Ovis aries: one gene and its partners. The main gene of each other region encodes a partner of the protein of the gene in region 2 in a complex. Links are inferred from orthologs where the notes say so. Each region holds a gene or a part of one and is shown on either strand. Other genes may lie near its edges.

Region 1 (4,261 bases), on a different chromosome or scaffold from region 2:
GAGAACAATATCCAGTTTGGGGCTCCACAATTCAAGAACGATATGGAGAAACTAGAGATGGTCCAAGGAGAGCAACGGGAATGATTAAAGGGATGAAAAAATGGACCTATGAGGAAAGGTTAAAAACATTAGAGTCTGAACTGAGAATCAAGTAGCTAGGTACTCAACTTCCAGGGCAGATCATTTTTGCTTTTTTGGTGCGGAGGAAGGCTAATTAGGAAACATTTGAAAGTGAATAATAAAGTTTTCCCTTCTTCAGATATTATTTGTATTCATATTCTGAAAGTAACATAAACCCACGTTGGTTGCAAATGGGAAAAACAGGTATCTCAGAACTGATGAAATGATCCCTTTAAGTTTTTACTATTAGTCTTTATCACATTCTACCAAAAGGAAACAATTATGTGCAAAGGATACAAAAAAATATTGCTGTTACATAATTCCCATGTCTAGCCAAATCTCTCATTTATTAAAGATAGTGAAAAAGGGTATGAGTGGTGACCAAGAGTCTACATAAACTATATATACATGACCCATAAGCAGTTCTCAACAGGAGGCGATTTTTTGTTCCCATGAGACATGTGTCAACATCTGCGGTTGTCACAATGGCCAGGGGCAGGGGGAAGGGGCGGGGAGGGGGGGCGTGCACAAAGGGTGGGAGTAGGGGTGGGGGTGCTACTGGGCATTGAGTAGGCAAAGGGCAGGAATGCTGATAAACATTCTGCAATGCACAGGACAGTCTCTCATTTACAAGAAACTATCTATTCATATATCAGTAGTGTGGAGGTTGAGAAACTGGCTTAGAAAAAATCATCAGTGTATGGTTAGTCATTATTAATTACTAGGAATGTGAGAATGTATTCTTTAAAAAAAAAGTGTCATGAACTGAACAAAGGCAAACCATAGATTATTAAGGTGTACTAAGGCAGAAATGCCAGAAAAAAATAACTTCTGAATACCAATGAAGACTTCCTTTTGGGGTTTCTATACAAATTTTTCCCATTTAACTCTGCTATCATGGTATTCTGGGGAAAAAAAGCACTTTGCATTTATCGACTCTGACAAAACTACATTACTCTGATTAGAAAATACATAAATACATGTGTGTACACACACATGCATGCAAATATACACGTGTGCGTGTGTAACAGAAAATTTTCACTAGCCATCCATAAAAAGCTTAATTAATTACCATAAGGAGCTCTTCCAGCCAAGGGGTTTATTAATGGAGTTGGGTTACCACTTCCTTCCCTTCTGTTTCGGTCTGCTAATGCTGGAAAATCTGAAAGGTCCAATCCTGTCACATTTTCACTTCCATCTAAATAAGAAGAAACAAACTAGTTACTGCTCTACAAACATTTTAAAGAGATTATTACTAACTATAATAAAATTTGAAATGGCAGTGTCTTCTTCCTAAACAACGTACAGCACTGTACTTGGTATATGTAAATGTACAATGAATATTTGTGGATTGACTTCATGTGAAAGAATTTATGAACAACTCAGCAAAGCAGTATGTACCTACTACACAGTAACAAACCCAAATCCTAGAGACTTAAGACAGATAATAAGGAGTAAGGTGGTACATTATTTCCCCTGTGAAAGATGGTATTCAAGTTATAAGTTGCTGATTAGTAAGAGGGGAGGCTGTTGTGATAAAATTGTTCTTTTCACTGTATTCAAAAACAGAGGTTGTATCTGGAATGCTTGGGGCTTCATTTATAACACTGGTGTGATAATGACAGTGCCTCCTGCAAATGGTCTGAATCATATTTGAGGCACAAGCAATGGGAACAGAATCCCTAAGGATATTTTTGGTCTATTTGGCCTATTCCATATACAAATGTATATACATGCAAGTATGTGAGTATGTGTGTTTTGCAGTTGAGAGTATAAGTAGGGTGGAGAACATAGGATACATGTAGAGCTCTCATGTCTGGTGAGTGAATTGTATGAGAATATGACACAAAGCCCAGAAGTTTATATTACCTATTACACAGTAGGCGCTCAATAAATTGAATAAATAAAATATCTGTTTATTTTGAATTTTAAAATATCAGTTTCTTTCCTTTTAAAAACTAAAATTTAATCCAACATTTCTACTTTGCCTATTTTAATCATTACTTTGATCTCTTCTCAATGTATTAATTATTCTAATATTCTAACAATCTTATATTCTTAATTTTTGAAGAATTTATTTTCTATCTTACTGTTAGTATGCACTATAGTTTTACTTTGTCTCATCTAGTGTGTTTAACCAGTTTCAATTTATCTGCCCCCTCTTTCACTTTAATTTTTCTCTAATTTTCATAACTAGAAGGATCTCAGAGAGAAACAGCTCAAGATTACTCTGTTCATAGAAAACAGTTACATTCCAAGTCAGGTGACAATTTAAAATTATGAAGGGTAAAAGATAAAATAATTCAAACCCATTGCTTTTAAAGAAACTGCAGCTTATGAATTCTGAATTCTAAACAGGCATTATATAAAAAGGCAACAATACATAACAATAGCTTATACAGTACTTTAAAAAGTAATCTCTCTTGAATTACTTGGTTATGAATTCTAACTATAAACTTATAGTAAGCATTAACTTTTAATACACTTCTTCAGGTCCTCTAAAATGGAGTTTAAAATTGGCATATATTATTTAAAAATCACTAAAAATAGTATTAACTCACAAATTTTTATTTTTAGGGTGTAAGACTTGGAAACAACTTTCCTAGTATAAAATATACTTAGTTAAAAATGACTTCAAAAAATAACTGTAAAATTTACGGAAGTGTATAAACCATATTTCAGAAAATAAGATGGCACTGTGAGACACACTGTCACTTTACGGTTCATTTATGAGGGAAAGAAACTTCTCTAATTAAATTATGATCTGCATCCTAATTTCAGAGATATTTAAATATGAAAAAAACGTGCTTTTGAGAAACAACGGAATATGGTACTTCATATCAGAACACAAAACTTTTTTAAATGCAAAAAACTGAAATTCTTAAGTGTCACTTGGTCAATCCAGGCTGCTAGTAAACATACAATAATGTTGAAAAATTAAAAGCCAATAGCCAGAACTATCATTTCAATTGCTAATCTCATGCTTCCACATACACCCCGTTTCACTAATCATTCTTTCACCTTCCACTTCCTTTACTGTATTTCTCTCTCACAATCATACTCGTTTTTGCTCCTCTGACTATAACAACATCCTTCATTTGCTTTCTCAGGAAAGGGTCTGGAGGCAAGTGTGGAAGAAGATAAAACCTGAAGCAGAATAGTAACAAAGCCTCCCGTTCTCTTCTGTCTAAAGCCAGCTGATAAAAGAAACCAATAGACTGCAAAAATTCGTTACTGTCAAAATCAGAATTGGCTTTCTATGTACATAAATTTTGAATTTTACACATAAAACCAGATTAAAAATTTATGAGTTAAATGCAAAAATTAGTATTATTAAAACTATTAAGAAAAAATTGTAAGTGCTCCATATAGTTTTAAAGGTTTGTTCAATCTGGGTCTCTATAGCCAGAATGCCACAACGCTCAACCTAGTTCAGACCACAGTGAAAGGACTGAGGATAAGAAAAGCTCTTGAAGCAAAAAGATTCTGAGGCACAAATATAGACTAAGTTAACGTTCATGCTTTCTCCAGGTGTTAAGGAAACAAATCTGAGGTTATAACACTGCTATACCATGCCAAGTGAAAAAATATATTTAACCATCTTTTAACTACTGACTGAATTAAATCCTATTTCCTGTCAAATTCTCCCCTAAATTAAGTTCTATCATTTAAACACAAAAATTCCTTTAATTATTTTAAGACTAGTACGTTGAACTGCTTTATATTTCAAGATCTATCATATTTTTATAGGGTACTAGCTCCAGAATAAGCTTACCTGTTCCATTAAAAATGTTACTTGATAAGGAGTTATTCATTCCAAATGCCTGATTCCTGTTCATTCCAAATCCAGACATACTGGGTACATAGAAAATAATTTTAGATATACAGTAAGAACACTAACTTTCAGATGAAGAAAAACAAGTGTTTACTTTTGATCTCCTCATATAAAACAACATGTCTAAAAACAAAGACTAATTTTATTTTTGAGTTGAATATTTTTATTTAAAGGTTCCCTAAAATCCTTCCATGAACAACTGAGAACCAAAACGATCAGTTAAAAAACAAAAAGCAAAGAATTTATATGAAGCACAGATTAAGGGTGTCATTCTGTGTACTTGGCAAGTCAACTTACTGAATATAC
Region 2 (4,261 bases):
TTTCATCTTACCTTTGGTCAAAGTCAGCTTACAGAGAAAAAGAAAAGAGAGCTGATTAATCTCTGTTAACTTTATTTTATTTTTTTCAGTACAAAGCAGATGAACTCCTTTGTAAGATCATATTTTAAGAAATCAGGTCAGAATTTGAACTGATTGTAATTCTGTAGTGTAGTTTAATCCAGCACTTTCTACCTCATTCCACTGGGTTTGTTTGTAGGAGTGCAGAGTATCCTTATGATGGTTTAGCCTCGGAAACTATAGCATGGGGGGCAGGAGTATATTCATGCCTATTGAGGGGTTTTGGAGGGCTATGCCAAAATTATGGCACTGAAAACTAGACAAGAAAGAGTTTGAAAAGCTTGGATGGGAAGTCACAGGCTGCTACAATCAGATGAGCATGAAATTCAGATCTGGGACCTTGAAAGACTACAGAGGGAGAATAAGGGAGATGGTACGAAAATGATCACACTAACAGTGATCCTGAGTTCCCACTTTAACACATTTATTACCCAGAGAAGAGGAGAGAAGTCATTCTTTATATTTCAGTTTAAAGGGCTGTATTTTTCCTTCTTGAAAATGTCTCCTTTTTTTAATAAAGTTAGGTATATATACATAGGTACTAGTTTTTGGTTGGGAACAAGCTGTTGGTAATAGTATCAGGAAGGCTGTGTCAGTCTTGTAATTTGTGTGGGAGAAGGAATTTTTTTGGACTGGGAAATGTGGAGGAGAGGGATGAAACTTATCCTAGAACATTGCTTACCCTTCAGTTGGCTAGGTGGTATAAATTGTTCTTGTTTTGTGCTATTAGCTTTACAGAGAGGGAACTCACACTGCAGTGTTTTTTAGGCTGTGGTTTTTTTTCATTAGCATCCAATAGAAATCAGTTTATTATATAAATTTTAGAACCTTTAAGTTTACTTATGTAAAGGAATTTAAGGAAATTTATAGGCAAGCATTTGTGGCTACCTTTTTAAAACTTGTTTTGTTAACTGGTTCTCTTATAAATACTTAAGCATAGTAACATTTTAGCTTTATTTCTTCAGAATTTTGTGGTATCCACTTACATATTACACATATGGGGATATGCACCAGAATGGGGCAAGATATAAGGGAGATAGATAAACCAGAAGAGTGCTCTGAAATGATTTCCAGTCTCTCAGAAGTGAGGGGAGTTTAATTCAAGTATTTCAGTTTCTGTTAAGAATTCTTATTTAATGTGTTTTTCTCTCTCTACCCCTATAGTATATTGAGTATGGACAGCAATCTAGAGATCCTCCGGTGAAAATGCAGGGCTCTATCACAACCCCTGGAAGTATTGCATTGGCTCAAGCCCAGGCCCAGGCCCAGGTTCCAGCAAAAGCTCCCCTTGCTGGCCAGGTTAGCACTATGGTAACCACCTCAACAACCACCACTGTTGCTAAAACGGTTACAGTCACCAGGCCAACTGGAGTCAGCTTTAAGAAAGATGTGCCAGTAAGTAGGTCTACTTTCTTTGTTGTATTTGTTGTTGCGTTGCAATATATCCAGTAGTGAGCATGTACTTTATTATAAATAACACATGCCTATTAAAAAAGCATGAAAGATCAGCATTTCTCCCTTTACCACCCCGATTTCCCACATGCAGCCCCCATGAATAGTTCAGTACATGTTCTTGCCAGCACTTCAAGTGCACAGTTGTACATACCATATGTATTCTATATACTAAAGGAATCTGTGTAAATACCCCACCCCTAGGATTTGTCTAGTAAGGATTTCAGTTTGTTAATTTTATGTATTTTATTTCTTTAGCCTTCTATTAATACAACAAATATAGATACATTGCTTGTGGCCACAGATCAAACTGAGAGAATCGTAGAGCCCCCAGAAAATATCCAGGAGAAAATTGCTTTTATCTTCAACAACCTCTCCCAGTCAAATATGACACAAAAGGTGAGTCTGAAGTAATAGTTTATATATCACTACAAATGTTCTCTGTTGTTTTTCTTGATGGATTGGGGGACTCATATTTGATATTCTCTATCCTTTTTAATCTTTAAAGGTGGAGATAATAGAATCAAAATGAAGGGAACTTGGATATACAACTAGTGGTTGTAGATTCTGTAGATGTTAAATAGCACTGATTTTATTTATTTATGCCACATGGCATGACATGTGAGATCTTAGTTCCCTGACCAGGGATCGAACCTCTTAATCACTGAACTTCTAGGGAAGTCCCAAATAGTATTGTTTTCCAGTGAGTTACAGGCTTTTTGAAGTAAGCTTGAAAATGATTTCATGATGGGAATTTCATTTGTATTTGTAGTCCCAATTCATATCCTCCCAGAGATCATTAACAGCTTTTGAAAAGAATTGATGCTTGTCTTACAAGATTATATGCTAAGATAATACTTGGAAATGTCTGTTTTCATCAATACTAATTAGCCTAAAGAAAAGGGTTTGAAATGTAATTTATAATGCAAGTACTGTCTTTGAGAATCTCACCATAATTGATTAGGGGAAATTTTTGAAGCATTTTGCATGGTTTTTGGAAGAAGAGTTTCAAACTTTACAAATAATTCCTAGAGATAGAAATGTAGAAAAACATAGTTCTGGCATCAGGTTTGTTAATAACAGGTTGTAGATTAGTAATTTATCTTCTTTTGTTAAAATGGAGAGTAAGTAAGATGGGGATGAAGGACTACATATTTTTCAGCTTTAAAGCTTAAAGTGATCATAGATGTTTCAGTTATAATTACCCAGATGATTGACTCTATACTTACATGGACTTGAATATACTGTACTTGATAGCAACTGTGTAAAATTGGGGAGATGTAGCATGTTGCTTTAGCATCTAATTTTGCAAGGAGCCATGCACTGTAGTTGTGTTCACAGAAATGAAACATAAAACTGTATTTTATCCTCTTAATTGAATACTTCCTATGTTGTAATGGTTGGCTAGGTTGAAGAACTAAAGGAAACTGTGAAGGAAGAATTTATGCCTTGGGTTTCACAATACCTGGTTATGAAGAGAGTCAGTATTGAGCCAAACTTTCACAGCCTGTATTCTAACTTCCTTGACACGCTGAAAAATCCTGAATTTAATAAGATGGTTCTGAATGAGACCTATAGAAACATCAAAGTAAGTGTTCTGGTGTTTCTTTTTTAATTTATTTTTTAATTGAAGGATAATTGCTTTACAGAATTTTGTTTTCTGTCAAACCTTTGTATTTCTTTTTACTACTGTTTTTAGTTTGGAAATATTTGATTGCACAGGTGGAATTAGGGGATATTGTTTTCTCCTGTATGTTGTACTTGTTACAGTATTTATGTAGGTTGCTTTAGGCATTGTTTCAAATACAGAACTAAGTTTTCATGAAGAATTTAGTCTTACAGACATACTCATTTTCGTCATTCTATACCATACCATCATTTATGTCTTAAATGCCAGATACCTCAAGATTCTTGAATGTTGTAAAATAGCCGTTTAAGATTCTCAGTTTCTTTTAAGGCCAAACGTTTCCTAATGGGCTAATGCTTGTTCTATAATATCTTAAGTATTTTTTTAGGAGGAATAATTTTTAAAGAAAACAGTGTGAACCAGCATATAGCTGAAAGCATTCTTGGCTGAATAACTTGGGATATTGGCTTAGGAACCAGCACTATATTTAAACCTGTGAATAGGAATTTTCCCTATTCTTGGTTACGCTGTAGTGCAAAAGAATTCCTGGCTCCTTTCTATTGCACAGCTGACTTTGTGCCATTCTGCTGTTGCTGTATGGAGTTAAGGAACATAACTAAATTCAGCCTTTGTCATTTGATAGCAGGGATTGTTGGGATATGAAAATCTCCACATGATTTGGATCAAAAGATTCTTTCTTTTAGACAAAAGTATAAATTTAAACTAATAGCCATAAAAGGTATTATGTAGGAAATGAATGTATGAGTGTATGCAAGACACTGGAGTGTTGGTTCTGTCTCCCTTAAGAAAGTTAAAAGTAGAGAATTGATGAAATGGATTAGGTCTTCTCGAAGTGGGTAAGCAATATTACAGTGTATTCCAGAAAGTAATCTCAGTTGTTTTCCAAAGATAATGCTAAAGATCACAACAGAGCACTGCAGTCTTCTTATACTCCTTAGTATGCCTGCTGTCTGGGAAGGACTTAAAAATCATAGCGGTAGTCTTTATTTGAATTGAATTTAGCTCTTCAAAATAGATTTGCAGTTGGGTCGCTGCTTCAAACTTAGCTAAAATTTTCAGTTTTAAAATACTTTGCTCTGGGAC
Region 3 (4,406 bases), about 23 Mb from region 2:
GCCGGGATTCCAATTTACACACAGATTTATTTAAAAATTCCAGAAAACCACAAAAATAAATTTTTAACAATATATATTACTTAATATATTATAGTGTATACTTATAACAATAATTATTTCATCGTTTCCAATATTACAAAAAGAGGAAGAAAAATACAAGGGAAGCAGACGACCCAATATATATAAATACTATAAAATCTATTAGAATAAATAAAGTCGTCATAAATAAAGGGCCCAAAGGCGGGGGTGGGAGAGCCGGGCGTTGGCAATGGCTTTGGCTACTTGCTTTTGGAGGGAAGTTTGAGCACCAGGATTCCCTTTCAGGTGAGGCTCCAATCACGACACTGGAGCCCCAGGATCTAGGAAGTAACTGGAAGAGGGCATTGGGGGCTTATTATTCACAGCATTGGGCAGGGGTGAAGTTGAAGAGGCTTACTACCTCCCTCAAACTTGCTACATTTTTTTTAAAAGACCCCATAAAACACTCCTTCCCAAACAGCCTGCACGCTGAGGACCTGCCCCAGCGCGGGGGTCAGGGGAGTGAGTTAATGCACTTTGGAAGGTGGGGAGAACTACATGATTACGAGTCCCTCAGTTCCCTACAGCCCCGGGACCCCTTGTGGAACCCACGCACAAGAAAAATGGCCCCCCTTAAGATCCAGCTGATCTGTACTAGGCAGGCACTTGTCACTCCGAAACGGAGATACGATTGAAGATGGGAAGTCGCCGAGGGGCGGCAGGTGGCTGAGGTGGCCCAAAAACCCCAGCCTCAAAGACAGGTGAGTCGGATCCCCCCAGGCTGCTGCCGCTGCTGGCATATTCGTCGGGATCAGATCCCAGGGAGTGTGCAGAAGGGCTCCGAGCTAGGCCACCCACAGGCCCCCAGACGCTGTTGGGGGTGGCCCTTCGGCAGGAAGGGCAACAGGCTGGGGTGGGGTCCCTTCGGGACACAGGTGTCCCGGGGGCAGCAGAGAAAGCAGAGGGTGAAAGTGGAAGGTCCCCGGGTGGCGGTGGTGGGGAGCTGGAGGGCGAGAAGGACCATGAGGGCACGGAAGGGCCTGCTAAGCTTGCTGGTGGTGGCGAGGTTCGGCGGCCCGAGGGCAGCCCTGAGAAACTGATGCTCTGGCGCAGCACATGGGGATGGCCGGGGGCAGCCAGGTCCTCGCTGGGGTTGTGGATGAAGTGGCAGCGCGAACCGTAGGGGCAGCGACCCTGGAGGTAGAACTTGTGGCAGAGCTCCGTCTTATACTTGGGGTGGCGACTGGGCTGGCGCAGCTCACCCAGGCCATGGGCAAACTGGCACTTGGCCCCATAGCGGCAGCGCCCGCTTTCTGAGAAGGTCCGACATAGTTCAGTCTTGTAGCGGGATGAGGTGGTGGGAGTCGCGGTAGGCGAGGTGGGTGAGGGCGACAGCTCCGAGCTGGGTCGAGGAGCCAGGGGCGCAAAGCCTGGGGGTGGGGGCACCCAGCCGCAGCTGCGACCCTCCACCAGGCTGGTGGAGCGGCCAGGCAGGCGGGCAGCGGCCTCAGGCAGGCTGGAGTCGGATGAGCTGAGGCTCCAGGGTCCCGAGGAAGCCCAGCTGGTGCTGGACTCAGTCTCTCCGAGGTCGGATGGCAGTTCAGGGCTCAGCGACAGGAGGCTCTGTGGAAACAACGATCGGTTAAGACACCGAAAATACAGGGTGACGCCCCGCCCCAGCTGCAGGGCAACCAAGGGCTTGCCAGTCCGGTTTGTGGGCTCCCGGCCTCAGCCCCACCCGCCCTAAGGGAAAAAAAAAAAAAAAACAAACCTCGGGTTCCGGATCTCAGGGATCCCGATTTGGAGGTTTATTCGCGATTTAAGCTCATCCCGAGGGACCCACTAATCTCGGCTCCCCCGGCTGGATCAGAGGGGCCCTAAAGTCAGGACAGACTGCTGTTCTCCAATTTTTTAAGCCTCTGGGCCTCTCGGGATCTGACCCCACTCATCGGTTTCTCCAATTTCACAAGTGGAACAGCGGGCAAAATTAAGCCAGGAGTCCGGATCTCTTCGGGTTTAGAATTCCAAGATCCTCTGGGGCAGGGAGCGAAGAGACAGAAGTCAGCTCCCGCTCACCCTGAGACTCCAGCCCCAGAAACGCCTCCGCGCAAAACCGCGCCCTCAGCAACTACTCGGGTAATCCAGGTGTGGGGGCCATTTCCGCCTCCAGACAGCCCCGGTCTGAGAAAAGTTCTCCAGCTTTCCATCTCCGAGGGCCACCCCACTCGTGTTGGGGCCGAGATCAGAAAGCCACAGGCTCCATTTTCATCCCCAGAGGATCACACTGATCTGATCCGGGAGGCAGGAACCCCGGGCCGGTGTGAAGCGCTAAGGAGTTCCAGTTTGAGAAGGGAAACCGGTGCGGGGAGGGCTGGTCCGGGGCAGGAATTTGTTTGCGGCCCTAGAAAGCCCTGGTTTGAGAAGGGAGTCAGGTGTTGCGGACGTCGGGGTGCCGATCGGTTGGGGGGCTCACCTTGTAGATGGCGGCGAGATCCATGGCGGCGCAGATGGCCGAAGGATGTAGAGCCGACGGAAAGTGGGAGCGCTGAAGTCACGCTGCGGTGGAGTGGAAGAGCCGCCACTTTTATTCGACCAGAGGGGAGGCGGGGCCAAGGGGAGTTGGCCCCGGGAGGGCGGGGCGAGGAGGGGCGCTTCCCGGACGCGCGCCCCCAGCGCAGCACTGCCGGCCCGAGTTCGGAGCCCTTCCGCCTGGATCCCGGCCCGAATTCGCCTGAGCGGGGCCCGCGGGCGGTCGCGACCCCGCGGGGAGTGCGTGAGGTGGGGGGTGGGGGTGTCGGCCCAGTTTTCAAGGCTGGAGACTGAGGCGCGGAGAAGGGAACCGGGACGGAGGTGGGGGCAGGGCTCCCGGGGGAATTGACAAGGGCAGAGGCGGAGAGGGCGTGCGCGCGCGACACTGATCGACAGGGGCGGGGAGAGGCGAACCGAGAGCAAGAGAGAAATGGAGGGACGCAAAGAGAAAAACATGGGGGCACACACACACACGGGGGGAGCTACGCACACAGGGAGACATGCACAGAGCGGGGGAGACAGGGTGAGGAGAGGAGGGGAGGTGGGAAGGCAGAGCTTGAAAAGAGACGTAGACAGTCCCCAAAGAGACAAATTCAGAGCGAGAAGCGGGAGGGAGGGAGAGTCGTACAAATAGAGAAGGGGCGAAAACTGGAAGAAACAAACATCCACAGACAGAAATCCGCAGGAGCAAAACAGTGAGAGAAGAGCCTCCCCAATCCTGGACGGTCTTGCTCCCGAACTGCCCAGATCCTGAGACCTGGACCGCCCTCTTTGCTCCCATTCACGAGGATTGGGGGTGAGGTGGGGTCCCACACACCTGGTGAGGTTGGAAAGGGGCCTCATTTCCCAAATACAGGACCGCTGTGTCCTCTCACCCTCACACAAATAATGGCGCTTCTGATGGCTTCCTCTGGGCTAGGCACAATTGCAGAAAGTGTCTTACATACATTAACCCAAGGAGGTATTATGCCCATTTTAAACACAGGGAAACCCAGGCATGAAGAGGCCAAGTTATTGTTAGTGAATGGCATTAGCTTAATACCAGGGCCTTAAATCATATTAAAGGGAGTTTGCACTCAAGAAAACTCAAGATTGGAAAGGGGGAGATCTTTTATTATGATGGAGGGTTTCTTTGCTGGAAAGCTGTCTCAAATGGAAGAAATGGATCATCCCCAACTGATGGTCGGATGGGACTCTCATAAAGGGATGTGCCTTGAAAGAACTCTGCGTTTGCAGAAATCACTCCCCTCATTGACAAGTCTTTTATTGTAAAGGAGTTGCCCTGAGTGATGCTCTCTTAAGATATGGTAAAAACACTAATTTTTAAAGGGGGTCTCCAGAGCTGGCTGCCCTGACTGAAAATACGGTGGTAGAAATAAATCATTGCCACGGAGTGCAGTTATTATGGTGGAAAGTTCATTCTTGCAGGTTGTGACTGCGGACTGCGGGCTTGTATTGAGGTGGGGAGATTCTGCTAGGCACGCTGATCTGCTCGTCCGACAGAGCACGGGGGAATCCCTGGTGCGGCGCTTTCTCGGGCCGAGGGGCCTTCCCGGCCGGTCCCGTGAGCTGGGCGGCTGCGGGCGGCTCTGGCACGGTTGCAGCCTCCCTCTCGCCAGTGACTCACTCGCAAGGGGCGGGGGAGGGGGGCTTCCTGGAAGCCGTGACGAGGAGGCTCGACCCGGACGCCCGGGTTCCTCTCTGTAACCAGGGTTTTGGTCGCCTGTAAACAGAGGCTTGAGGACTACGGGAAAAGGGGGGAAAAGGGAGATGCCCGGCACCCGCCGCCCAGTTGGGCTCCAAATCCCTGTGCCGGTAGTAGGACTAAGGGGCGGGAGAACGAGAGGTGGGAGGCATTC
Region 4 (4,509 bases), on a different chromosome or scaffold from region 2:
TAAGTCATCTGCCTAGTCCTTCCAGTCTGGAGAATGCACCCATCTGTTAATAGTGACTCTTGAAAAGGTAAAATTAAAGCAGTGGCAAGAGGTGACAGGAATTCATGTGACCTAAAAACAACCCAGAAAGCAAAACTCTTTTAAATTGATATGTTTTCTAGCAAAACTGAAGAGAAGAAGTTAATGCATGCTTTTGAGTTTAGGTATATTCATATATGAAGTTTTCTCATTTGGAGCTATACTAACAAGTATAGCTCTTGTTATAGTTCTTGACCAAGAAATGAATGGTTTGCCTGTGTGCCCCCGCCCCCTTCTCCCACCCTTTGACCAAAAAAGCTCATAGCTATCATGGCAGCTTCTTAGACTTTAAAAGAAGTGTTCAAATGAAGCAAATAGGCTGTGGAGGGAGGTAGTTAAATATGAAGGCAGCCTAATTTTTAATAACCTAGCTAAGCTCTCCTGGAACCTCTAAAGACTAAATTTGTTGCTGTTATTTTCAGATAGTGATTTTTGTACATTTTAGATGACTTCATGTTAATTTCCATTTTTACCTTCTGTGTCTGTTCTGATGGTACATACGGTGTGGTAGGTTAAAGTAGAAGTCAAGCACCTTTGCCCAAGATGAGATTTAATCTCATGGATGAAAATCACTGGTGGGATTCCAGAATGGTTGTTCTAATGAGAATGGGAACACAATAGGGGGAGGCTGTGTTCCATGTCTTACCCCACCTACCCCCAGTCAGTTCCTTTAATTGTTACTTATACTGGTTTGACTTCTATGATGGTTTAAAGCTGACACAGTCCAGAGTGGAACCTTCCTGAACACCAGTTGTTCCATTAGCTCAGAGGATTCCATCTTACATTTAGTGTGAGAGGCAACAGCTGGAATGAGATTTCCACTATTTAGAGACCCTGAAATCGAGCAATTCAGAGTGAATGAATACTGCACCCTTTTGATCTTAAGTACGACATATTTTTGAAGAACTGGAATAGGAAGGGGCATAAAGAAAAAGCCAAGTAGTAGAGTTAAAGGCAAGGTTAATGAATTCATATACTGTTACTGTATAAATACACAATTTTTTTTAAACAGCACCATTTTCAAGTGTATACACAATATGATTATAACTTGGCACTATTTTTAAAGGGGGAAAACGGTAGTTGCTCGTTCAGTAATAAAAAGATCTGGTACATACATGAGCTGTATTCTACCTGCTACCTACAAATTGTACATTTTATACATCTCCAGCTAGGACAAAAACAAGCCACAAGGAGGGAACACCCACCCAAACTACTGTAAAGTATACCAAGTCTTCACTTAATGCTGCTACCAGGCAGGGCTTCACCTGGAATTATAACTGGGTAAGGACAACAGAAATATTACTTGTTTCAAACAATAAAATAGTCATTTTGCTGACACTCCATAAAATCGCCAGTTTTAAGTTCAGTTGAGAGGCTTTTAAAAAAATATTCTAGACCTAGTAAAGTGCCTCCACTCATAAAATTAAACATCCAAGATTAGATTGAGACAATTTCATACTGATGCGCATCTAAAATAGGTCGACGTATAAACAAACCACAGCGCCTCTAAGTTGCCACATTTCAGTTAGTACCCAGCCTTCACCGTCTGGATGTGCACAAACTAGAAACAATCAAAGATTTTAACGTCTAGTCTCAACCGCTCTTCGACAGGAAAATACTCAGTACCGTTGGCTTCCTCTGGAAAAGCCAAGACGAGCTCCACGCTCCCCCGGCAGCGAGGGAGAAATGGTGCGCAGACCAAACACGAGAGTGGGCGGGCGTCTACCCTGGTGGCATCATGGGGCAGCAGCAGATGGGGATCCGGGCCCTTAGCGCAGCTTCTTGCCGGGCAGGCCGTCCCGGGCGCTGCGCGGCGGCGGGCGGGCTGCAGGCGGAGGCGGCACTTTGGAAAGCGGGCAGTACTTGATGGTGTGCGCGTTGTCGCCGCTGGCACCGCACAGGGGACACGTGTACCGGCGCAACACGGGGCACAGCACCCGCCCGTCGGGTCCCTTCAGGATGTGGGTGGTGTAGAGCGCCACCGCCTCCTTGTTGTTCCGGCAAAACACACACACCTGCAGCTCGGGTTTGAGCAGCCGGGTGGCGGCCGCCCCGTTGGCGGCGTGCAGCTTGGGCTCGGCCGCCCACGCTGGGGCCCGCTCCTCTCGCGGCGCTGCTTCGGCGGTGGCCGCGGCGGCCGCGGGTGCGCAGCCCAGAAGCACGGCAGCGGCGCGACCAGCGAACGGGCTCAGCTCAGCGAAACGCTCCTCCAGCAGCCCGGCCTCGGCAGGGTCCGCGCACAGCTCCAGCGCGCGCAGCTCCAGCGCGCCCCCCAGGTAGCGGCTCCGCGACCCCTGGTCGTCGCTGTCGTCGTCGTCGTCCTCGTCGTAGTCGGGCGGCCCCAGCGCGGGCCCCAGCGCCCCGGACCCGGCCCCCGCGTGGGGGGAGCAGCACGACGAGGAGGAAGAAGAGGGCGGGGAGCCGTCTCCGCCGCCGTCCCCGCCGCGGGCGCAGCCGAAGCGCCGCTCGCCGTCCACCGCCTTGGTGATGAGCGTGGCGAGTCCCAGATAGTCGTTCCACGAGCTGAAGGGCTGCGGGTGCGCCGGGCCCTGGGTGCTCACGTAGCGGGCGCTGGGCACAAGCGCCATGGGCGGGGGGGCGCGGCCGCGGCGGGGCGAGCGGGGCGCCCAGGGGAAAGCCTCCATGGGCGGGGTGCGGGCCGCGCGCGCCGCCTCCCCGCCGCCGGCGCGGGCCGGACGGAAGGGACGAGCCGAGCCTGCCCGCCGGCCTGCCTCGGGGTGGGACTGCCTCGCCGCCTTTTATCGGGCCCCGCTCCTCCCCGCCCCGCGGCCTCTCCGCCGCGGCCCTGCCCCCTGCCCTCCCCCGCCCGGGCCACCTCGCCCGCGCCCGGGACGGAGGCGGAGCGGAGGCGGACGCGCGGGGGGCGGGCGGGCAGTGAGCGCGCGCTGCTCCGGCAGGCAAGGCTCCAGCACCCCACGCGCTGCGCCCGCCTCGCCAGCTGCCGGGCAGCTTTCATTCTGGGAGGGGGCGGACAGGCACCGCCTCGGGCCGCTGCGCTAATTGGCTGCTGACCAGAGCCCCCTGCGCCACGGGCGCCGCTCCGGACGGTGATTGGTGAATCCGGGGGAGGGGGCGTGCCCTACCGAGAAGCTGGGAGGGGAGGGGGATGTAGGGGAGGGGCGGCTGCTGGGGCCCGCCTTCGCCTGTTCCCCTGGTTTGGAACAGGTGACCAGTCCTGGCTCTCTCTCAGCCTGGGGGTGAGACCCACCTCCCAAGCTTTTAGTGCCCTGGGCCAGCCTCTGTCTTCTGAGAAACCCCTTCTCCTCTCTCCTTCTCATCAGCATCAGCAAGGAAAGATGTGGGGAGGCAAGACTTGGTGCGAGCTAACGATGCAGTTTTTAAGTGGGAGCCGCCCAGCAATCAAGTAACTTCCTTTTGCACAGCGTTTTGGAGAGCTTTCAACTGAGTGGAATCTTCTCACAAACCTCAGGGAGCTTCAGAGAGGTTTTAGTTCTTACCTCGTAAGTAGTGGAAGGACACATAACTTTCCCACAGCAGCACTGTAGCACCTCCCAACAGGTGTTCCGAGACCAGGTGGTGGCCAGTAGCTGGTGACAGACAGGTAGGGGTGAGGGCCTTAGGACAATGATCAGTGTGTGTGTTTCTAAGTGTGTGTAGCTCCTCACTCCCCGTTGCCCCTGGGGTGAGGTGACCGTATTGACATATGAGGTGTTTGTGCAATTGAAATAACAAAGCGTATTCAGGGGCCACTTCAGCGTCACCATTTAATACTTTGAAATGAATACTGTACTTTTGTAAAAACGGTGGAAAATAAATCAGAAGACTTTAGGTGGCTACGAGATGGTCATGCCCTTCCCAGGAGAAGGAGCAACAAGGTTTTTTAAAATATGGAAAGTAGGAAAAGTATTAGGTGGGAGGAGGGTTCCTGTAGGGTGCTGAGGGGCGGGGACAATGCCTCCTCTAAGCTGGCAGGTAGGGTTTTCCTTCCTCTCTCTGGAGGAGCTCTGTCTGTTGAAACAAGGGTTGGGAGACTGGTGTTGGCAGCTGTCATTAGTGGGTGGGTCTGGGTACGTCCCAGCAGGTGTAGAGTGGCCCCATAGGGATGCCCAGAACCTAGTGCTGGCTCGGGTTAACAGGGGAATGAATGAATGAGTCCCAATGCTCACAGTGAAGGGGATCTTTGGTATCATTCAGTCCGATCTTAACTTTACAGATGAAGAAAATGAGACCCAGAGAAGAGAAGGCTTCTTTACAACACACAGTGAATTTGTCACACTGCCAGAGTGAGGACTCAGGCCTCTTCATGACTGGCTTGGTGGCCTTCCCTCTACACCGTGAATCTGGAAGCTATTTCAGACTTTGAGACTGTCTGTGCGAGCATCAGCAGAAATCAAGTGTAGCACATGGGGGTACGGAGGAAGAGAAGCGAGATGGGGGCTTGTGCCTTTG
Region 5 (4,764 bases), on a different chromosome or scaffold from region 2:
TGTGATTAAATTAGCATTAGCTGTCAGATGATAATCTCTTCCCTTCAGTTTCCTCCCGGAAGAATTCTCTAAAGTCCCTGCCACCTCTAAAAGTCAATGATTCATTACAATCAATTGCATTACAACTCAATGAAGAATGGCACAGCTTAATTAATGTAAATCTACAAAGGAACAAGGCAAAACCATTCATTCATTTTTTTTTCTGTTTCTGACAACTGAGAATCCTTGAAGAGTTGAGCTTTTGATTTCACTTTGTGCTTTCAGAAAAGCATTATGTATGCCCTTATGAATTTGAACCAAAGAAGTTAAACCTGAAGAAACTACACTTTCTTTTTCCCCCTAAGTTTTTGCCCTTTAAAAACAATAACTAAAGCAGTCAAGGGACATAAATACGTCTACATGTCAAAATCTTCTGTTCAAAAAACAGCCAAGAAAACCTTTAGCTATCTTACTTAAGTCTGACTACTACAGAAATGTTACATTTTAAAATATAACTCTTTCAAAAGTATGTCTCAACTTGAAGTAGCAGTTTAATTAAAAAAAAAAAAAAAAACAACCCAACACCCCACAAAAAGGAAATTGTTATTCAGTCACAAAGTCTCACTCAACTGTCTGCGACCCCACGGACCCCATGGACTGCAGCATGCCAGGCTTCCCTGTCCTTGACTACCTCCCAGAGTTTGCACAAACTCATGTCCATTGAATCGGTGACGCTATCCAACCATCTCACCCTCTGTCGCCCCCCCACCTCCTGCCCTCAATCTTTCCCAGCATTAGGGTCTTTTCCAATGAGGAAATTACCTGTGCTTTAAAAAAACACACACAAATCTGTGAAAGAATAAAGACATTACTAACTTTTTAATCAAACTTTCTAGGACACCCAGAGTACTGATTAAGTTATTTTAAAAAATTATTCCCCAAATAAAATTATGTTTTTTTAAAAGTAAGACCTTAATTTCACAACTGCGGGTGGGAGGGAATAAAGGCCTACTCTGGTGTGTTAACACCTTTATATTTCTTACCGAAAATACAGTAGCTAATTAATTACTGTTCCTTCTGCCATACACCAAAGCTTCTCAAACAATACAAATTTTAAATTCTTTGATGTCTTTTTTTTAATTGAAAATAAAGTTGCTCAAAAGCAAATCCTTATTATCACATACACAAAGCTGTATATTTTGAAGTCATGCAGAAACTGACTGACCTCTTAAGCAGGGTAGTTAACAGCCACCTAATTTCAGTTCAAGGTAGTAGGTGGTTTCCTGTATTGACAAGTTTATATATGATCAGCGATATCACCTATTTCACACCTGAAGATTACTTATTTGCAAAGCACTAAGAGGATGAAGAGGGCAACTTCTAAAGATTAAATGGTAATATTACTGTCCATCATGCACATAAGACCTCGTATCTCCCTAGAGCCAAAATGTGACTATGTGAGAACTGCTCCCCTCTTAATTAAGCTGCACTGCAGCTTTACGTCTCAGGAAAAGAAATATTCCTCCTACCCATTCCCAATTTAGATTTCCAAGTTGTATTTCTACATTTTCAAAAATACGAACGAAACAGAGACTAGTTGGGAGGGAACCCTAGCTGAGTTAATTACAGCACTTCCCAGACCGTAGTTAGCGATTGACAGTTTCACACCCAAAACAGTCTCGTCATCTCCAAAAAGACCTTTTGTTTGCAAATGCAGCGCAGTTTCTCTAAGCTCGGTCTGCCAGTTGGAGTGACTGTTCTATTTTGAAGGGGCAAGGGGACTGAGAAAGAAAAAGGGGAGTGAGTGATAAAGGAAAGAAGCTAATGATTTTGATTTGCAAGCAAATAACTTCTTGTTTCCCTCCCCTTCATATCCCCCTCCAAAACCCCTACACACTTCAAGTCAGCTCCCTGGGCCCATAAACACAAAAGGGTTGGGGCCCTGCAATCGCATCTGCGCAACCAGAGCAGAGAACCAGCTCCCCAGCTAGGAAACAATAGGGATTCCCCCAAAAGAGAAACCTTTAAGTCCGACAGCCCCTTCTTTCCTCCGACATTCGGAGGCTCCATAATCACCCCGTTATCGACCTGCAAGGCCTTACTCCGTCAAGCAGTCGGTCCTCTTCCAAACTGAGCCCTCCGCTACAGCATATCCCTGCCGCCCCCTATAGGGCCGCCTCGTACCCTATAACCTCCACCATCTCCCTAAGTCCTTGCCGCCCCCTACGGTCCCACCCTCCCTCGTCACCCACAAAGCTCCTCTGAGGAATTCTCCCGCTCTTCCTCCGGACCCCGCCGGGCACAACACTGCTCTATGCTACTCCTCCCGGCGTCCCCACCCCACAGCTGGCGCCCGCCGCCCGCCTTCCTCCCCAAGGCCCGGCCAGGCCTCAGGCCTCCGCCTCAGAGCGCCCCCCACGCCAGCCTGGGGGCTTCCTGCAGCCCCTGCGACACGGCAGACCGCCACCCCTCCACCTCACCCCTCTCCCCGCGGCTCAGGCCCGAGTCCTACCACCGAGGCCACTCCCGCTCGGCACCCTCGGTCCTTTATTGTTGACTCGAAGCTCCCAAAATGGCGGCGGCTCCTTCCTCCTCGGAAACCTCCGCCCGCCCCCACCCGGCCCCTCGCTTCGGCCTCCTCCCGCCCCCGCCCCGCCCCCGCTCGGGGGGCCGCTCAGGCCGGCCTGCCTTCGCCCGCCCGCTCGCTTCCCCGGCCGGCCAGCCCTACCTCCGCCGCTGCCCGCTCTCAAGGCGCCGCCGAAGCCGCCGCCCGGACTGAGCTAACTCGGCTCCCCCGCCCCCTCCGTCGCCGACTGCCCCCCCACCCGTTCTCCGCATGGCGGCCGCCGCGGCTCCTCCTCCGCGCAAGATGGCGAGCGCCCAGCTGCCGCTGCTGCACCCGTCGCGGCTCCTCGGCCTCCGTTGCTTCGCGTCAGGAGAAATCCGGGCCGAGGAGCCTTCCTCAGGAGAAAATGGAGGGCAGTGTTTTTCCACCGACGGGGAGTCTGCGGGGGCTGAAATGGAGGGGAAGTTGAAAGGGAAATATGGATCCCTTCAAAGAGAAAGGAGAACTGCCTTTTCCACAGCTAAGGAGAAATGATCCGGGAATGGTGGGTGGGAAGAGTACCCCCCCCCCCCAAAGTGGAAGTCGAGGGCTTGGGACCCGAGGAGGATCTGCTTATTCCTGACCAAGGACCCGGTAGCGATTCGGGGACGAGACAGCTGACCTGACATCTCTCGCGGGCCAGGGAGGCTGCTGCAGGTCCAAGGGGGCCGCGTCCGAGCCCCTGCGGGGCGCGCCTCCATCCAGGAACGCGCGGAACCAGTGGTCCGGAGGCGCCAGCACGCACCCGGGTGTGGGGACAGGAAGGGGGACCTGCCGGGACGGGTGCAGCAGGGAGAACCCCGGGGAGAGCGCGGGGCGGGGGCCAGGGGGCGCTGTGCGCGGGCGGGCGGGGGCAGGGGTGGAGAAGGCTGTGGGAAAGTTGGGCGAGGGTGGGGTGCTGGGTAGCTGGGGTGCGACCGGGGCAGGAACCCAGAAAGCGAGCCTCGGAGAGGGAAGTGGGAGACTAGAGCAGCGATCCCCGCTTTCTCAGCACTAAAGGGCAATCCTCAAAGAGAGGGAACCAGGGAGGCCGAGCCTCCCCAGAAGGAAGGAAACGCTGCTAGAGTCAGTTATGATGGGAATAGGAGTTCTGTACGGAAATGAACTAGAAGACCAAGCGTAATTCTTTCCCCAGCCCGACCCTCATCAGAAAGATATTTATGTATTTGTTCCCATAATTACTTTTCATATTCTAATGTCTCCGTTTATCCTTAACCGAAATAACAGGAATGCAATCTTGTTCCAGGTAAAACAAAAATCGGAAGCTAGCAAGTTGGCTAGGTTAAAGGAATAATAAAAACCTGGGTCTCACTCTCAACTGAGAGACAATATACCAGGCAATGACCAGACCATAGGTTGACAACAGAACTCCGACCCACAACCTCTGCTGCAACCAACACGCGAAGCCAAACCACAACCTCTGCAGTGATCAGCTCAGAATGAGCCAGATTCGGTCATTGACTGCCAGCTTCCCTACTTTTTGCCTGTGTTTCCAACTCTGGACCAATTAGAGAAAGCCAAATATGTTCCCCTAAACCAATCACGTTAGACTCCCCGCTTCTAGTTAGCCCGCCTCCAGCTTTCCCCGAGTTAACCTCCAATCAGAGCAAACCCTGAAGCCTTCACCCATCCCCATCCGCCCCTTTATTTTTAACTGTCGGCGTTTGAGTCCCCAGCTAAGTGAAGGTGGCTGGCTCTCACTGTAGCAAGCTTTGAGTAAATAACTTGTTCTCATTGGTGGTCATTTTTATTTCCACACAGCCGAAAAAGAGGTGTTAAAGAAATGTTAAAAGGCTGTTCTTGAGATTTTTTTTTTAACGGACCTTTAACAGTTTTTTTTTTTTTTTTAATTCTGAATTTGTAACATGTGGTCGCCCACCCAGCTTTTAAAAAACCCACTCATTTAAAGGAAATAACCAGCATCTTGTGTCCACACCGGAGAGAGAATGGCTAAGTGGTTGTTTAATAAAATGTTGAGGTCTGAGGCCCCACTGTCTTGCCATGTAGCAGGAATGTGAAGTGGAGGAGGACAAGAAGTGAGTAGGAGGGAGAGGAGCCTAGGGATTTAAAACAGGCCACAGCCTACTCCGGTCTCTTTCCCTAGACCTCTCAAAAAATGAGACCAGCCAAAGGAAAGGGGTTTGTATTCCCACATAAATTTCTTACCTTCAAAGGGGCCC

The links.
Region 1: the proteins of CNOT1 (region 2) and CNOT2 are in contact, whole or in part, in a crystal structure (PDB 5FU7), measured with the Homo sapiens proteins. The link is inferred for Ovis aries from reciprocal best matches to the Homo sapiens genes CNOT1 and CNOT2. Residues at the interface, in NP_057368.3 of Homo sapiens: His1864, Ser1865, Ala1866, Ala1867, Arg1870, Asp1871, Gln1917, Pro1921, Ala1923, Pro1925, Ala2003, Tyr2036, Leu2039, Glu2040, Ser2043, Arg2045, Ile2048, Ala2049, Ala2053, His2054, Leu2079, Leu2084, Lys2086, Gln2089, Ile2090, Leu2091, Tyr2092, Lys2093, Gly2094, Leu2096; in NP_001186231.1 of Homo sapiens: Met350, Val351, Asp353, Gln354, Phe355, Gly356, Met357, Ile358, Gly359, Leu360, Leu361, Phe363, Ile364, Arg365, Gly372, Met373, Val374, Leu376, Ala377, Leu378, Gly379, Ser380, Asp381, Leu382, Leu385, Leu387, Asn388, Leu389, Ser391, Glu393.
Region 3: the proteins of CNOT1 (region 2) and ZFP36 are in contact, whole or in part, in a crystal structure (PDB 4J8S), measured with the Homo sapiens proteins. The link is inferred for Ovis aries from reciprocal best matches to the Homo sapiens genes CNOT1 and ZFP36. Residues at the interface, in NP_057368.3 of Homo sapiens: Gln821, Glu835, Asp845, Ala848, Asn849, Phe852, Gln853, Tyr856, Asn894, Glu897, Glu898, Phe901, Gln904, Tyr905, Pro906, Glu909; in NP_003398.3 of Homo sapiens: Arg314, Arg315, Leu316, Pro317, Ile318, Phe319, Arg321, Ile322, Ser323, Val324, Ser325.
Region 4: the proteins of CNOT1 (region 2) and NANOS1 are in contact, whole or in part, in a crystal structure (PDB 4CQO), measured with the Homo sapiens proteins. The link is inferred for Ovis aries from reciprocal best matches to the Homo sapiens genes CNOT1 and NANOS1. Residues at the interface, in NP_057368.3 of Homo sapiens: Ile2327, Ile2330, Lys2331, Trp2338, Glu2350, Phe2353, Gln2354, Val2356, Ala2357, Met2361; in NP_955631.1 of Homo sapiens: Phe40, Ser41, Ser42, Trp43, Tyr46, Leu47, Leu49, Thr51.
Region 5: the proteins of CNOT1 (region 2) and DDX6 are in contact, whole or in part, in a crystal structure (PDB 4CRW), measured with the Homo sapiens proteins. The link is inferred for Ovis aries from reciprocal best matches to the Homo sapiens genes CNOT1 and DDX6. Residues at the interface, in NP_057368.3 of Homo sapiens: Glu1097, Ala1100, Phe1101, Phe1103, Asn1104, Asn1105, Leu1106, Ser1107, Ser1109, Asn1110, Lys1114, Lys1137, Arg1138, Ile1141, Glu1142, Asn1144, Phe1145, Leu1148, Tyr1149; in NP_001244120.1 of Homo sapiens: Phe329, Ser330, Arg331, Leu332, Gln333, Ile334, Asn335, Gln336, Leu357, Gly358, Tyr359, Ser360, Leu384, Arg386, Asn387, Ala402.

What each region holds. Positions count from the first base shown.
Region 1 is NC_056056.1:149,447,151-149,451,411, forward strand, and holds part of CNOT2 (CCR4-NOT transcription complex subunit 2), read right to left. Parts: intron 3,976-4,261; coding exon 3,896-3,975; intron 1,319-3,895; coding exon 1,193-1,318; intron 1-1,192. UniProt on the Homo sapiens protein: Component of the CCR4-NOT complex which is one of the major cellular mRNA deadenylases and is linked to various cellular processes including bulk mRNA degradation, miRNA-mediated repression, translational repression during translational initiation and general transcription regulation.
Region 2 is NC_056067.1:25,913,874-25,918,134, reverse strand, and holds part of CNOT1 (CCR4-NOT transcription complex subunit 1), read left to right. Parts: intron 1-1,242; coding exon 1,243-1,473; intron 1,474-1,788; coding exon 1,789-1,929; intron 1,930-2,938; coding exon 2,939-3,118; intron 3,119-3,634; exon of another isoform or gene 3,635-3,773; intron 3,774-4,261.
Region 3 is NC_056067.1:48,456,998-48,461,403, reverse strand, and holds ZFP36 (mRNA decay activator protein ZFP36), read right to left. Parts: upstream 2,516-4,406; coding exon 2,492-2,515; intron 1,642-2,491; coding exon 688-1,641; downstream 1-687. UniProt on the Homo sapiens protein: Zinc-finger RNA-binding protein that destabilizes several cytoplasmic AU-rich element (ARE)-containing mRNA transcripts by promoting their poly(A) tail removal or deadenylation, and hence provide a mechanism for attenuating protein synthesis.
Region 4 is NC_056075.1:38,763,188-38,767,696, reverse strand, and holds NANOS1 (nanos homolog 1), read right to left. Parts: upstream 2,814-4,509; 5' UTR 2,724-2,813; coding exon 1,848-2,723; 3' UTR 1,022-1,847; downstream 1-1,021. UniProt on the Homo sapiens protein: May act as a translational repressor which regulates translation of specific mRNAs by forming a complex with PUM2 that associates with the 3'-UTR of mRNA targets. Capable of interfering with the proadhesive and anti-invasive functions of E-cadherin.
Region 5 is NC_056068.1:29,125,966-29,130,729, forward strand, and holds the start of DDX6 (probable ATP-dependent RNA helicase DDX6), read right to left. Parts: upstream 3,410-4,764; 5' UTR 3,207-3,409; intron 2,994-3,206; 5' UTR 2,805-2,993; intron 2,776-2,804; exon of another isoform or gene 2,708-2,775; intron 2,554-2,707; exon of another isoform or gene 2,460-2,553; intron 1-2,459.